Linked DNA regions of Arabidopsis thaliana. The protein of the gene in region 2 interacts with the protein of the main gene of each other region in a pairwise test. Each region holds a gene or a part of one and is shown on either strand. Other genes may lie near its edges. The genes, in order: FRA8 and MGDC.

Region 1 (7,355 bases), 7.2 Mb from region 2:
GAACCAATCCATATGGGTCAAAGGATCGCATCTTTCCATCTCGAGACACGGAAGACTGGAAGCGGTGAGTGGGAGAGAGTTGTGAGCGGCACGACGGTTGGTAACAAAAGGCTTTTACGGTTTCTGAATGTTGTTGAGTCGCGGTCTCTAAAGCTTGTGGTGGACAAAGCGAGGACCGACCCACTTATATCGTACCTCGGACTCTACATGGATAAGTTTTCGGGTTCTAGTAGAAACACAACAAAGATAACAATCACAAGGACACTAAAGGAAGAGCAGCAACTACATGATTTGTAAGAAATAACTCTCAAGGATTCATCACATAAGTGTTAGGTATTCTTGAGAATATCTATGTGCATCAAGTCATATATGTGTCACTATCAATTCTTGTATGTTAAGGCTCTAACTTTTACTCTATTGCTTTAAAAGAAATATGACTTTTTTTCTTCAATGACATAAATTTGAGGATTTGGGTCTTCTTTTGTAACTCGGCCCAAATGTTTTAAAGAATTTCTTATGGATTGGAGAAAACTTTTGTGGAAAAACAGAGAAAGCCCTAAAGTTAAGAGACATGGAAGCCACTGAAACGGTTCTTTGCACGTTGCTTGCCGTCGACCTCACAGATTATTGCTATAGAGTTTGTTCTCGCTGCCAGAGAGTTCTTCCTTCAGATAACAATGGCTTTGCTTCTTCTTCATTTTGCAAATTCTGCAAATCAAAAGAACCAAAACTTCTCTATCGGATTCTCGTAAGAACCCTTTCATCTTCTTCTTCCTTCTAGGTTTTTGTTTTCTGGTGGAATAATCTGAAAATTTTGTGATGAATTAGGGTTTTAGGTTTAGCAGCTGTTATTTAGAAATGGGCTTTGTCCTTTGTAGAGAATCAGTTTTGGTGAATCTGTTAATCTCTTGTAAGAACTGTGGAATTGAGTAATTATATAACTTCAAAGTTCTCACCTTTCTGAACCTAACAGATGTCTATAGTGTTAGAAATGGACTTTGTCCAATTTAGTTCTATGCATAGACAAGAATGAGTTTTGGTGAATCTGTTAATGTCTTGTGGAATTGAGTAATTGTGTAACTTCAAAGTTTCCACCTTTTTTGGAGCTAACAGATGTCAATAGCAACAGATGCATCAGTGAAAACTGTGATATGCTTTGATAGAGCTGCAACTGTTCTCTTTGGTTGTTCAGCTGATGAGTTCTTCCACTTCACTAAGCTCAATCCATTAGCCGGTAAATATCATCAAATCGCTGTACTATAAAAGCTCTGAGTAAGTTTGAGATGATTCCTCTTAGATGTTTTGTTTTCAATTGCAGCATCAATGGTGAATCAGGTCTTTGATGGAGAAATGCTTAGGATGACGTTAACTCGGCCTCAAAACCGAAACGCGCAACACATGAGAGTCGCTTCAGTTGTTCCTCTACGATCAGGAGTTCAGCCTGCAATTGTAACCTTGAGACAGATTTGCACAAAGAATGCTTCTTTAGGGAATTTTTCTACAACAAATCACAGTTCCTAATGTTGGAGTACACATATAAAATGCTACTATCACAAGTTGTTTGATATCTTTTCTTACACTTCATTTTGTCCAAAATATTCTCTACTTAGGCTAAGTTCCTCCTTGGATTATGTTCTAATTTGGTTGTTAGAAAATGACTTAATAGTGGATGTGGAAAAGTTTAATTAAGTCTCACCTAAAGTTCATTTGGTGAAATTCCTAACAACAAATCTTGAAGGTTCATATCTTTCACATTTAAGAGCTTACTACTCTTATATCTCACTAGCCAGGAAAAAAAATAGTAATACACAGGTGTCAAAATTATATTGGTTTACAAGAAAGAGTTTGACCTTCTAACAGACCTATTCAATTTCTTTGACAAAGCCTCCAAAACTTGCCACGTGGCATCTCCCTCTCTTGAAGGAACATTAAACATAAGGGCCCGCCTAACAGACGGATCCTCCAAGTTTCTCTGTATGACTGACAAATTAGTAGCCGCCACGTGTTCCAAAATATCCCCTAGCTTTCCAACGTCTCTCTCCGCCACCGTGAGCGAAATATCCGGCCAACGTACGGTGGAAGGGAACGGCAAACGAATCCCGTCGGCTATAATCACCGGAACACAGCCAAGAGCCACCGATTCAACAAGTCTTGGGCTCCACGGTGCCCACCCGAGAGGACATAAACAGAAAACAGAACGAGCTATTTCTGACTGGTAACCGGCAAATCTTTGCCGTTGGAGATAAAACCTCCGGTCACCACCGTAACTCCGCCATATATTCGTCCTTACACGCCTGATAGGTTAAAAAAAGTAGTTCAATATTTAAAGTTTTATGCATTTTATAGAAGAAAAAAAACTAGGTATAGAGATTGCTATAAGAGTTTTGTTACTTGCTATAGAAGCGTCCACTGATGTTTTTGGGATGAAGTTCCATCTTGCCACGGAAAAAAACCCAAATGTCTCGTTCTTTAGTTACCGGAATATTCTTTTGAGTCTTGTGTAAACTTTCCGGTGAGATGTACGGTGGTATCACCACGTTCTCTACCTCTTGGCATGGATGGTTAAAAGTAACACCAAATGTTTGCAAAATTATAGAGTTTCTCAAAAAAATTGGTACTCCATCAGCAATAGCTCTATCCTCCTTCACAACCAAAAAGAAATATAAATTTTGAGTATAAATAAACATATATATTTGGCAAATCATTTTTAAACTAACCATGGTGTGGAAGCAAGAGCCAAAGTCGTGTGTGGCCGTGAAGACATGATCAGAGCCACTGGTTCGGTTCCAAAAAGGGTATTGAGTCGAGACGAGCTTTATCGCGTCATTGATGAGTGATCGTGCATGGCCAATCGCTGGAAAGCCATTAATGGTGCTGAAGTTGCAAGAGACATAGACAGGGACAAAGAAGAAATCGGCTTCATACGGATCTTCCGTCCTTACATCTCCTTCGAGGCTGAGAAACGCCTTATGGAGAGCCACTTCCGCGGCAAAGAGGTGGTTGGTGCATCTATCATTGGCTAACCAGTCTTTGTTGAACTTTGAAGGTAAGTCATAGACGTAGATTTTCAAATTGTTGAATACGTCTAAAGAAAATTAAAACAACCAAAAATATTGTTATGAAAAAAAATTCTACTAGAAAACATGATGGATTCATGATTCATCTATATATATGTAATATGTACCTGTTTTGATGTTAGGTTGTTGAGAGGTAAACCCAAGTTTGTGATCATGGATTTTAGATTCAAACATGGCACGAGAAGCGAAAAGCTTAGGTTTATGGTTAGTAAGAAGATGCTTTGATATGGAAGTAGAAGATCTATGATCTTGATCATGGTCGACAAAGAAGGAAGCAAAAAAATAGAGAGTGAGGATAAAACAGAGGATCCATTTGTAGTATTGCTTAAAACAGAGATTTTTCTCTGTTCTTCTATGTTTATGTGTTGTCATCGTTCTTGTTTCTCCGGGATGAATCTTATGGCCTGAGCTGGTTGTTGAATTCGAAACATCTGATTGTTGGGATTAGTTAATAGGGTTTAAGTTGGTGAAGAGGAGTTTTCGGGTTTGGGAGATAAAGTGGAGATTAAGGAATAGAAGAAGGTGGAGAAAGATTGATGAAGACTACTAATTAATCCTTTACCTTGTTGACTCTTAAGAGATGTTAAGCCATTCAAATTTATAATAATTTCTTCATTTCGTTGTATTTGGTGTTTCTTTTTTCTGTTTCTTGTGGATTTTTCTAATTACATGTGCCAAAAAGTCGTATTTTTGTATAGATATTTATATATATGTTAGAAATATATGATATAAATAGATATTCCATACAATTTTATTAAATGAATTTACACGTAAAGAGACTCAATCTATTTGCATGTAAAAAAAAACTTACATCTCAAAGTGACAATGACAAATTTTGCATATTTTGTGAAGTTGTTAAAGTATGACACCTTAGGTGCTTTATGTGAAAAGTATATTTTCGGACTCTCAAACCTAATATGAGGTTTTTGGGATCAGGACGTTATTGGATTAATGCTCATACAATTCAAGAATTATTTTAAAGAGGCCAAACATGACGAAAGAAAAAGAACCATGATAATATTTAAAAGATATAATAAATATGAAAATGTTGGATTGTTAGGAAATACTACTTTTCTAAAGGAGCACAAATATGTATTGAGCGAAAGCAAGAAAACAAATCTCTGTCATGTTTAACCGAAACATTCAAAAGAAAACATATCTATGTTAGGCGGAGTTAAAGAGGTCTTTTAGTGTTGAGTAATATAGTAAAGTGGAGTACTAATTTATCGTAAAATTATATAAATAATAAAAATATTTGACATATACGTATAACGCATAGCCATGGAAAATTAATATTTTTAGTTTATAAAGAATTGTTATGTAGAAATATATAATTTTCAAACAATTGAAATTCAAGAATTTGCATTCCAATAAATTTGTATATTGTCATATTTGTGACTAAAGTATTTTCACATGTTAGTAGTATAGTAGTTCAAAACTTCTATTTTACTACCTAAGAAATGTTAGCTCTTTAATTTAATGTTAATTAACATATTAACTAGCGAAGGTATAACCGGATTGGGCAATGATGTGGAAGTCCTGAAGAACAAAAAGTTCACAGTTTATAGTACATAAAGATTGATATAAGCCGCAAAATTTATTTAAAGACTACCTCATCTTTGATCAGATTATGATGGGTAGGTATTATTTCCGTACACGCCAAGGGATAATGGACCCAACTCGAATAGGAAACCATTTGTAGCCACCAAATTTTGTTAACTTCTCAAACCAATGAATATTTGTCATACACTCATACAACACAATTATTATCTTTCAAAAACCAGAGCATTATGAACGAAAATCAGACTATCTTTTAGGACATGTGGATTTTGTTTTTGCTGTTTGTTTACTGTTTAGTATGTTTTTTTTTTGGTGGAATACTATTTAGTATGTTTACAAATAGCTAAATCATTGATTATATTGACATTGGATTACAACACAACATCTAAGTATATATACATTTAGCACTTTGCTCTAGAACACATAAAAGTAGATAATTAGATAATAAATTTTAAAACTTATGAAACAACAAGTTAGAAATTTCAGTTACAAATATGTAAGAAAAATTTACATCGAAAACATAGTAAAAGTTTATTCGCTTGTAAGGTAATTATTGTGTGGAATATTTATTTTTAATTAATTCGCAGTAATATGTTTATTTATTAGTCAAAACATGTAAAAATGTTTGATAATTTGGAAAACTATGTATAATATAAAATAATTTAGAAAAATGGAGAAGTAGGAATATATACAAAATAGTTTTCAAAGAAACTTATGCTTATCCAGAAAATATTTAAAACGTTACTATTTAATGATACAAGAGATTTGAAGAAAATAGTTTTGTATACACTTAGAAAACGACTCGTCAACCAACTTTCTTTGGCTTCTATAATAGTTCTATAGATTGACATTTTCGATCTAATCAAGCCAGATAAGAATATTAGGTGGCACTAGCAAATATGTAGAAGCCTAAGAGCATCATTATCAATAGGTTCTTAAAAATTTTAAAAAAACTTTTAAAATATTATATAAAATAAAATACAAAAAAAAAATAGAAAAAGGTTCTTAGAAAAGTAAAATTGACTCTTAAATAAGATATTGTTGATACACTTTCTCTTCTTATTAAGAACCATTTAATATTTAAGTATTATTTTGTCTATCCAAAATGTTAAAAATACTACTAAAAACTCATCAATAAGAATGGTCTAAGAACATACATCGTTGTGATGAACTTTCAAAAGACTTTTAGATATTCATTTCAGTAAAAAAAAGTACTGTAAAATGTTGCTAGAAACAATAAAAACCAAAAATTTCGACGAAAAAGAAGAAATCAAATTGATGTTGAACCACCTCTCCGTTCCCGTAATCATCAAGAATATATACAATCCCCTAATTAAGTAATATCAGGGTTTCCACTATAATTATGTATCCCTTTTCAAAAAAGTATTCCCTTTTCGAATGAATAAATATACATAAACCCTCTTCTAGTTTAGTTATTTGTAAGGTTATGTAGATATGTAACAATTTATAAATATTTTCACGACTGTACCATTACGAGTCCCTTACCTGATCAGAAATTTCTAGAAACAACATACAAGTGTTCAACAATTTTAACGTATTCTTGTTATGTACATTCTCAACTCATAAAAGTACGCTTTTGGAGCTAGAAATCCTTCTCCCAAATCCTTCTCCCAAAACGAGTTTTATTTAACTGAAATTTGCTCAGATTGACTCTAATTTTAACAAAAATAACTAGAATGACTCCTCTTGGCAATGATTAACTAAAATGACTCCAATTTTAAGTAAAAAGACCAATTAACCTTAATCAACCTTATACCATATTTTTAGCAAAAAAAAAACGAATTATGAATCAAATAAATTAAAAATATAAATGAATAAGATCCCAAAAAAAACTGGATCTTATTGATATGAAAAAATATAAATTAAGAATATAAATTGAAAAAATATAAATTAAGATTATATTAAAAATATAAATTAAAAATATAAATTGATAAAAGGAAACGCAATCAAAAGATCTTATTGAAATAGTTGATATGTGTAGAATAAGGAAAAAAACCAAAAAATTTGATTTTAGAAAGATATACACTTTATTGTCAATTTAATGCATTAAACATCAAATATGGAAATAACATAAACAAATCTGCCGTAAGAAAACCCTACGCGTTACGAGAATATTCCTTAACTCAAATATGGTAATATTTCGGAAAAATCTGTTAGCTAATAAAAGTCTGTCGTAACGTTTTCAAAATAAATAAAAAAAATCCAGTCAAACCGGATTTAACATACAATCAGACCGGGAAATAATTTAATTGAGGGCTAGCTAATAAATCTCATATAACAAAAAATTTCGAAATTTTAAAAATAAATCTGCCAAAAAAAGTCTGTTATTACTAAAAAGGTTATTCTAGTCATAAACAAATCGGCCATAACATTGACATGAGTAAATCTGTTATGCTTTGACACTGAAAAACAAAACTGTCATCACTAAAAACAAATCTGTTATCACTATGTGACTGTGTAGTAATTTTTTTTTATAACAAAAATCTGTTGTAAAACACCAGATTTGTTAACAAGTTAATTAAATCTGTGATTACACAAAACAACTCTGTCATGCCTATATAACATTTTTCGAGGTTAACAAATATGTTGTAACACAACAGATTTTTGGGTGCAAATAGAAAATCTGTTGCCACCATAAAGAAAAATCTGTGGTCCGGAAAACAAATCAGTGACATATTTGGTTTCAACATTCTTACT
Region 2 (8,481 bases):
AATTTAAAAAAATTTCCAATCTTACACATTCCATTTGCAATACAATTTAACTATCTATTTAATCATTATAAACTGGATTTTGATTCTACGGACTTCATCTTAATGAATAAATGCTAAAAATATTATATCAAAATAGTGTTATATGATTTTGATTTACGGTTTTGGCGGAAAAACGTCGGTTTACGGTTTTGGGGAGAAAACGTCGGTTTACGGTTTTGGGGAGAAAACGTCGGTTTACGGTTTTGGGGAGAAAACGTCGATTTTCAGGTTTTGGCAAGAAAACGTAGGTTTTCCGGTTTTGACGAGAAATCGCTGGTTTACGGTTTTGGCGGGAAAACATAGGTTTACGGTTTTGGCGGGAAAACATGATTTTCAATTTTGGTGGAAAACACTTTTTGTGATTTCGGCAGGAAAACAATTTTTGTGATTTTGGCGGGAAAACAATTTTTGTGATTTTGGCGGGAAAATGTGGTTACGGTTTTGGTGGGAAAACGTCGGTTTACGGTTTCGGCGGGAAAACATGATTTTCAATTTTGGTGGAAAACACTTTTTGTGATTTTAGTATGAAAACAACTTTTGTGATTTTGGGGGAAAAACGTCGGTTTATGATTTTGACGAGAAAACGTGATTTGAATATTTAAACCAAAAAGTGAAGTTAAGTAGAATAATTTAGTTTTAATGTATTAACACATTAACATTTTTAATAAGGTTTACTAATATAAAATGAAAAAGTAAATGGACTTAATTGGGTACCCATTTATTTGTGTGAAACCCCATTTAATAAATGGGTTTAGTTGGGTTAACTCATTTAATCCTATTTAATTTTTTTCTAAATGAGTTTAAATGGGTCAATTTCTCTTACACAAACCCATTAATTAAATGAGGTTTGCATACCCATATTAACATCACTAGTTATATCATATTGTATCAGAGTTAACAAAAAGAAAAAAACATTATATCTTAGTTAATAATAAATGAGTTAACAAATTACTAAAATAAAAATCCACAAACTAACAAAAAATCTTTACCATTAGTATGACGTTAAATCAACTGTGGTCTTTTTGAAGAGTATTTTGGTTTGGTGAAAAAGTAGGAGACTACCTATTATTTTTATAGATATGAGTATTTTGAATCGTTTTTCTTTTAGGATTAATAATTGATTGTAGTTTCCATAATTATGGTATTTTATATAACAAGATTGTATAATTTCTTAAATCCTTTTTAAATTTTGTAGGAAAAAGTAATCAATTTTGATTAAGAATTAGTAGCTTCAATTAGAATTAGTAAATGATTTTTTAATTTCTATTTTTAATTTAATAAGATACATATATTTTTTTAAAACTTATCATATTTACTTCTCTAAAATGTTTTAGTTTCCTTATACTTATTTTAAAATATATAATTTCTTACAATTGTCTTTTTATAGTCTTAAACTTAATAAAAGAAAATTTTGTTTTACACGTGTTAAAATCTGAGATCGATAAAATTTGCACATAGCATAATCAATTACTAACTTTGAAAACCGTACTTTATATAATAAGTTAGTTTCCTTGTAATTATCTTCTTACATTTTGAAAACTGTTTAAATTTATAATTTACAATTATCTTTTTGTTTTTTAAATTTAATAAAACAAATTTTTTTTATTTATATATGTCAAAATCTGAGATCGATGAAGTTGACACGTGTTACAATCATATGAGTTACTAACATTGAAAACCATATTTTATATAATAAAATACATAAATAAATGTTGAAAAAGACTGATAAAAGAATGACAAACCACTAGAGAATATACATTAATAAGAATCATGAAATAAGAGAAACCTATAGTCTAAACAAACAACACTTCAATAGGAAAATTCATTAAAAAGTGGAATACGTTGTTGTTGTTGGGATAGATGATGGATATCCTTCACAATGTCGAACACGGCTTCAGGTTGCGACAACTTTAGAGCATTCTCTGACATTTTCTTTAATTCCTCTTTATTGTTGCTAAACCAATCCGCCACGATTTTCGCAGTTTCTTTGGGACTTCGGGTGAAAACTCCAGCCCCATTGTCCACAACATACGGCACGTTGCCTTTTTCCTTTGGGAGTCACATACAATAGAGTTAGTTTATGTGGCCGATTAATCCCTAAGGTGAAGCAAAAAAATGTATACCTGTCCAGGAATATAGTCATTGAGGATAATTGGGAGGCCGCAAATCAGTGCTTCCGCAATCGTACCCGGACCAGCCTGTTTTATGTCATAAAATCTTAGTGCTATTTATATGAATGGGTAGGATTCAAAGATATGACTTACCTTAGTGATGATACAATCACAAGCTCCCATCCATTTTTCCATTTGTGTTTCAAACCCTCGAACCTATAAACGTCACAAGTATATATTAGTTACTTGGTATATAAGTATATAGTAGAAGTAAAAAAAAAATTATATTTTAGTTTGTACCTTGACCGGAATCTTCCATTCATGAGATGCTAATGTAGAAGCAAGGACTTTGTTCCGGCCGCATATGACAATCAATTGTCCTATTGGATTACTTTCTTTAGAGTTGTATAAAGAATCTCCAAGGGCTAGAGCTGTTTTTTGAACCGGACCCATTCCTTCACCCCCTCCCATTAATAGAACCGCAGGTAAATTTAAGTCTATTTCAAGTTCCTTCCTTAGTTCATTCTAACAAACACACATAATAATAGCTATTGTTGATCTTCTCTTGATTGGGAAAAAAAAGATCTCTAAATGGTATGAATTGGACAGAATTTACCTTGTTGAGAATAGTGCGAGGGAAAGATGGGCGGACAGGTAAGCCAAAGACACGGATTTGAGAGTCATCAAGGCCGTCTACTAATGCTCTCTTTGCAACCTCTTTGGACGGACAATAACATCTGCTGACTCCATGATGGAACCTATTACATCAAAATCGAAGATTTCATTTTGAGCTATTAGGTTAATTTCAATGTTTTAAACCCTGACCCGGACAGTGAACCGGATTTTCTTCTGGATCACCGATTAATGGGGTTAACCGAATTAGACCACAGGTCAATTGAATAAAATTTATTGAATATATTTAATATTAATAGAGATTATATAAAATAAAACAAAAATAATTATCTTATGTTTAACAAAATATGAAATCAAACAGTAACAATCAAAGTTTTCAATTTAACTAAAAGTCTAAAAGACTAAAACCGTAACAAATATAGTAGGAGATCATTAATGACGAAAATAAATTAATAAACATTGCGAATTAAAACAACTAATCTCGGTTTCAGTCACTTTAGGCGGAATTGTGAAGACTTCACCAAAATATAAAAAAATCAAATGAGTTTAAAAAGTGAATTTTTTTTCTAAAAATAGCTGAATAGAGTCTAAAATGCTATATTTTATTCAAAAATCGAATATATTTTTTAAAACTCACACACGGCCAGTTCAACCGGTTCACTGGGTCGCGGGTTAATGGCGATTTTTTGTGGATTTTTCCGGGTTTAAAATTGTTGGCTATAGTACTAAACCTAAACCGAAAAAGTGTTTGGGTTGCTGATTAACCGTTCGAACCGAACGGTTTGGGTCGGACGTGAAAACACTGGTTAATTTTAAATATTATTGCATATAATCTATATTTTATTAAATGAAAAGTCATGAGAGTAAACATGCAGGATTAATATGCTAACGCGTGGATTAAACTGATTTTAAGTACTTAGTATATATAGAAGTAATGTCATCTTACCATGTACGGTGGCAAGTGTTTAGATCAGTGATGACCGTAACGAAAATAACTTTCTTGTGAAGTCCTTGCCATTTCATTACCCACAATGGTATGTGTTGCATCAGAGGATGCACGCTAATAATAATGTCCGGTTTGTACTCCATTAAACCGGCCTCTATTTCTCTGTTCACCAAAAGAAGAAATAATCTCCATTATATTGCTAATTCGTAACACTAAGGGATGATAACGAAAAAAGAAGAAGGTTAACATATAAGTACTTGGCATAATAAGCGGCAAGAGCACTTAGATAGCTTTTGTGGATCCATTTGGGAGAAGTACCATGAAACGCAACAGACCAAAGACCAACATGTTTCACCATGAACTTGTACTGTCTCTCCATGTCGTTCAATGGCCATCCAGTGTATTCTTTCCAAACATCTTTTATGATTATCTATAGTTATAAAAAAAATGACATTAGTTCCTAGAGAGAATATTGTAACATCAAAGAGTCAGAGCTAGAGAAATAAATAATGCAAATTTTTAATCATTATTGACAAACAAAATAAATGGAACGTGGGACAGGTTTTAAGACATAGATTGTTGACGTCAGCTCGTATCTCCGACACCCTGGCAAACTCCAAGATTCATACTAGGCTACAAAACTTCCAAGTAGATATTTGTTTCTTTTCGTTTTCAAATTCAAGACGACTACTGCGACAACTTTAATATTGACGGCTGAGATTTCATTAGAATCAGAAACTCCTCTATGATATATTATAACATAATCTATTGGAAAATTTTGTCATAATATAAATACATATTATTCGAGGTATATATTTACAAGCTTTGAAATTTTCAAAATGAATATTTCAAAATATTGTTGTTGTTTTACACAGAAACTAAAAGATAAAAGTATGATTAAGTTTTGTTGCTTATGCAATATTTTTTCGTTTTTTTGTACGTTATATATATGGTTAAGGAAGCATATTATTGGCTCAACCCTATGCGTTGGATTCAAGGCAAAGAGAATGAAAATGAAGATATAAATAAAAATATTAATATTTTTACCCGATAGTCATCTCCGAATTCGATCTTGAAAGCGTCGCGGATGGCCTCGGCTGAAGCACGGTGGCCACCGCCGGTATCACTCATGAGAATAAGAACAGTTTTGATCCTCTCTGCTCCCATCTGCTCCATCTCCATAACTTCTTCTTTGTCTTCTAACCCTCTCTTCCTTAGACGACTCTCCTTCTCATAATCACTTGATCTCTGACGATGGATATACTCATCTTCTACTGTTGAGATGTTAAAATTGCTATAGACTCGTCGAAACACCTTCTCAGTGATTGAATCCGACCGTGTACGAGGTGACACCACTTTCATCATGACTATTTGGTGTTGAAGAAAGAATAATAAGAAGACCGATGGTTGTGTTTTCTATGTGGCTGGTTGGTGATCTTTATGTAAAAGATTTTAAGTTCTTTTGGGGTTTTAAATTTTTTGTAGCAAAAAAAATGGAAGACCAAGTTGCTTCTTTTAATAATTGTTTTTAAATTACTTGAGGAATGATGCTGGAATTATTCTTTTTTTTTTTTTTCGGTTCCTATAGTTTTGCTTAGGTATTTATATTTCGTGTCTTTATTGTTTTATGTGGGGCTTAATTTAGTGGTAGAGTAACAAGGGAATATGGCAGCTTGGAGCCGTCGGATCCGCCTTTGGTTTCGGAATCTTCGGATATATGATTCGGATCTTTCTTTGCATCTCAAGTATATTTAAAACAACTTGACTTTTTAAAAATTAAAAAAAAAATATGACATGGATGGTCCTTTTTGTGACATAGGTAAACCGGTTTAGAATCAAAAATTATCTGGTTTGATTAGGTTTAAATCGATTCAGTTAAATTTGAGTCCACTTTTCATATTAATTTAATACTTGATTAATTGATTCAAGTTAGTTTCGATTTTTGTTTAGTTGTTGATATGAATGTTTGTAAACAAAAATAGGTTTCAGTTCAAATGTCTACTTTTGCATCAAATGTACTCATATGGAAAAATTGTCTATTTGTCTACGAGAATTATGACATCATTAGATATTGACCCGCGGTACACAGCGAGTTGATTATTTGCGTTAGAAAGTTAATTGTTGTTTCAATTTAATATAATCTATATATAAATAACTGAGCAATAGTTTTATTTTTTCAACTTACTTGGTATATGTATTTACTTTTATTGATATAGTAGTATGTTTTTTTTACTTGGTTATGTTTAGTTAAGATAACATGTTTATTATACTTATTAGTACATAAAATGTGTATTTTATGATGCATTAGTACGTGTTTTATTATATATTTTTCTCTTTATTACAGAACATTATTAAAATTTTAATTTATTTTAAATTTGATTTTTGGTATATTACTGTAACTATCCTAAAGAAAAGAATGTTGTTTTATATGAAATAGTTGTACATTATGTTTTAAATCTGTGGTTCAATTTTCACAATTTAATTTATTTGGTATAATATAATTTGAAAATCTCATTTTATTTTTTTAGAAGTAGTAAAATCAAGAAAACTTAATACTATATGAAAAATTTATGTGCGATAAACATAATTACAAATATAAATTTAAAAAATAAATATAGTGACATTCAAAGAAATTAAGACTAATGTGGGTATAATAAGTCTATTAACTATTGGGTATTCTAAAACAATATGAAGCGGTATCAGGACATATGATAAATTTTGTAAAATCATCGATTCAGTTCGGGCATAAAGTAGATGAAGCTATAAAGGCAGAAATAAAATCGATCTTGGGTATACATAATATCGGAGGCATGGGTTCCTATCTCGGACTACCTGAGAGTTTAGGGGGATCTAAGACAAAGATCTTTTCCGTTGTTAAAGATCGATTACAGTCGAATAAATGGGTGGTCAACTAAATTCCTATCAAAAGGAGGGAAAAAAGTGATGATTAAATCAGTAGCCGCAACATTACCAACTTATGTGATGTATTGCTTTAGGCTCCCGAAAACAATTACTTCCAAACTAACAAGTGCGGTCGCAGGATTTTGGTGGAGCTCGAATGGTGAATCTAGAGGTATACACTGGATGACTTGGAACAAACTGTGTACTAGTAAATTGGGAAGTGACTAAGGTTTTCGGGATGTAGATGATTTAAACTCTGCATTATTAGCGAAACAGTTATGGCGTCTAGTTTCGTTTCCGGACTCTCTCTTTGCCAAGGTTTTTAAACGAAGATATTTTAGGAAATCCAATCCTCTGGAAAATATAAAATCATACTCTCCGTCTTATGGCTGGAGAAGTATTTGTTCAGTTAGATCTCTGGTTTGTAAAGGACTTATTAAAAAAGTCGGTTCAGGGGCTTCCATCTCCGTTTGGGAGGATTTGTGGATCCCGGCTCAAAACCCGAGACCAGCAAAAAGTAATGGTTTGTGGATGTCGGATCTTGTGCTCGACTCGACCCGCAATTTGTGGGCTTCCAGACAAGGATTGGGCCCGGCCTTAGAGCCCAATGAAAGCCCAGTGGTTCAAAAAGTTGATACGGAATTAATTTAGTAACGGCTGGATATCGACTTGAATGATAAGCATTCAAAGGCCCGAGCTGTTGATCCGCAACGTACGAAGTTAATAGGGGCGAGGTCTGCGGCGTGAAACCAGCTAATCATTTAAGTCATTTGATTCGTTGTATTAGTATAAATAAGAGTCAATTGTCATTTGTAAAGGGGACGAAAACACCTTGTACTGAAACTATACTGAAACTATACTGAAATACACAAATCCGTTTATCATTTGATCATTGTTCGACCGACAAGACTTAAGATCCTCACAAAAACAACCACAAAATTCTAATTGCGGATTCTGGCATCCACAATTTGGCGCTAGAAGGAGGGTAAGTTAAGTCTTTAACTTCAGAGCAACGATCAATTCACCATGAGCAACACCGACGGTCAGAGTTCCGGCGACTAAACCTCCACCCTCGACGACATCAAGCAGCTGCTTCAGCAGTTGTCAGAGAAAACCGACCGGCAACAGCTCGCAGTAACGACACTCTCCGATAAGTTCGTGTTTTTCTAAGAACATTGCAATGGCCAGCTCGCAGCTTTAGCAGCAAACCATTCCGAGATCAGATCAGCGCACAATGCATACGCCGAGCGGGTTGATTCTCTTTCTGCAGGAACGGCGCGGACTACTGGAGCTCGAACGCGACTCAACTTTCAGGGTGTCGCAAGCCCAAGCGTCCAGAATTCGCAGGAAGCTTCTGGCCAGCAATCTCCTTCACCTCCAGTTGACGTCGGGGCAACGTCGACACAGAATCCAGTCATACAATCTTCACCAGCAGGCCTTGCCGCAGTCTCAGATGGGACAATAGCTCGGACGCCGGCTCCACTGGATCCCGCCATCAGACTCCCGATTTCTAATCCCCGACAAGAGCCAAACACAGTCAACTCGGAGCTCCAGAACCTTCAAGATCAAATCTGGGCAATGAACGCAAAAGTTCATCAGGCTACCACGTCGGCCCCCGAAGTGGAAAAAGTTATTGAAGCAACAAGGAGAACGCCTTTCACTTCGAGAATCTCGAAGCTTCGTATTCGCGATTTCCGAGACTTCAAACTTCCCGGTTACAACGGCAAGGGAGATCCAAAAGAATATCTAACTTCTTTCCAGGTCATCGCAGGTCGGGTCCCTCTTGAGCCACACGAAGAAGATGCAGGGCTCTGCAAGCTATTCTCGGAAAGTTTGTCAGGTCCCGCTCTC

Evidence for each region.
Region 1: the proteins of MGDC (region 2) and FRA8 interact in a two-hybrid assay, tested with the Arabidopsis thaliana proteins (one large-scale study listed by BioGRID).

What each region holds. Positions count from the first base shown.
Region 1 is NC_003071.7:11,976,193-11,983,547, forward strand, and holds FRA8 (Exostosin family protein), read right to left. Parts: upstream 3,812-7,355; 5' UTR 3,450-3,811; coding exon 3,185-3,449; intron 3,086-3,184; coding exon 2,718-3,085; intron 2,643-2,717; coding exon 2,392-2,642; intron 2,295-2,391; coding exon 1,832-2,294; 3' UTR 1,673-1,831; downstream 1-1,672. Other genes in the region: FUC1 (alpha-L-fucosidase 1), read left to right, coding at 1-297; AT2G28105 (replication factor-A carboxy-terminal domain protein), read left to right, coding at 572-748, 1,114-1,234, 1,319-1,521. UniProt on the Arabidopsis thaliana protein: Involved in the synthesis of the hemicellulose glucuronoxylan, a major component of secondary cell walls. Probably involved in the synthesis of the glycosyl sequence at the glucuronoxylan reducing end.
Region 2 is NC_003071.7:4,740,001-4,748,481, reverse strand, and holds MGDC (monogalactosyldiacylglycerol synthase type C), read right to left. Parts: upstream 5,321-8,481; 5' UTR 5,095-5,320; coding exon 4,777-5,094; intron 4,216-4,776; exon of another isoform or gene 4,160-4,215; coding exon 3,987-4,159; intron 3,892-3,986; coding exon 3,730-3,891; intron 2,909-3,729; coding exon 2,767-2,908; intron 2,676-2,766; coding exon 2,451-2,675; intron 2,367-2,450; coding exon 2,304-2,366; coding exon of another isoform or gene 2,268-2,303; exon of another isoform or gene 2,264-2,267; coding exon of another isoform or gene 2,258-2,263; exon of another isoform or gene 2,238-2,257; coding exon 2,163-2,237; intron 2,089-2,162; coding exon 1,849-2,088; 3' UTR 1,672-1,848; downstream 1-1,671. UniProt on the Arabidopsis thaliana protein: Involved in the synthesis of monogalactosyldiacylglycerol, the major structural component of photosynthetic membranes and in the chloroplast envelope biogenesis.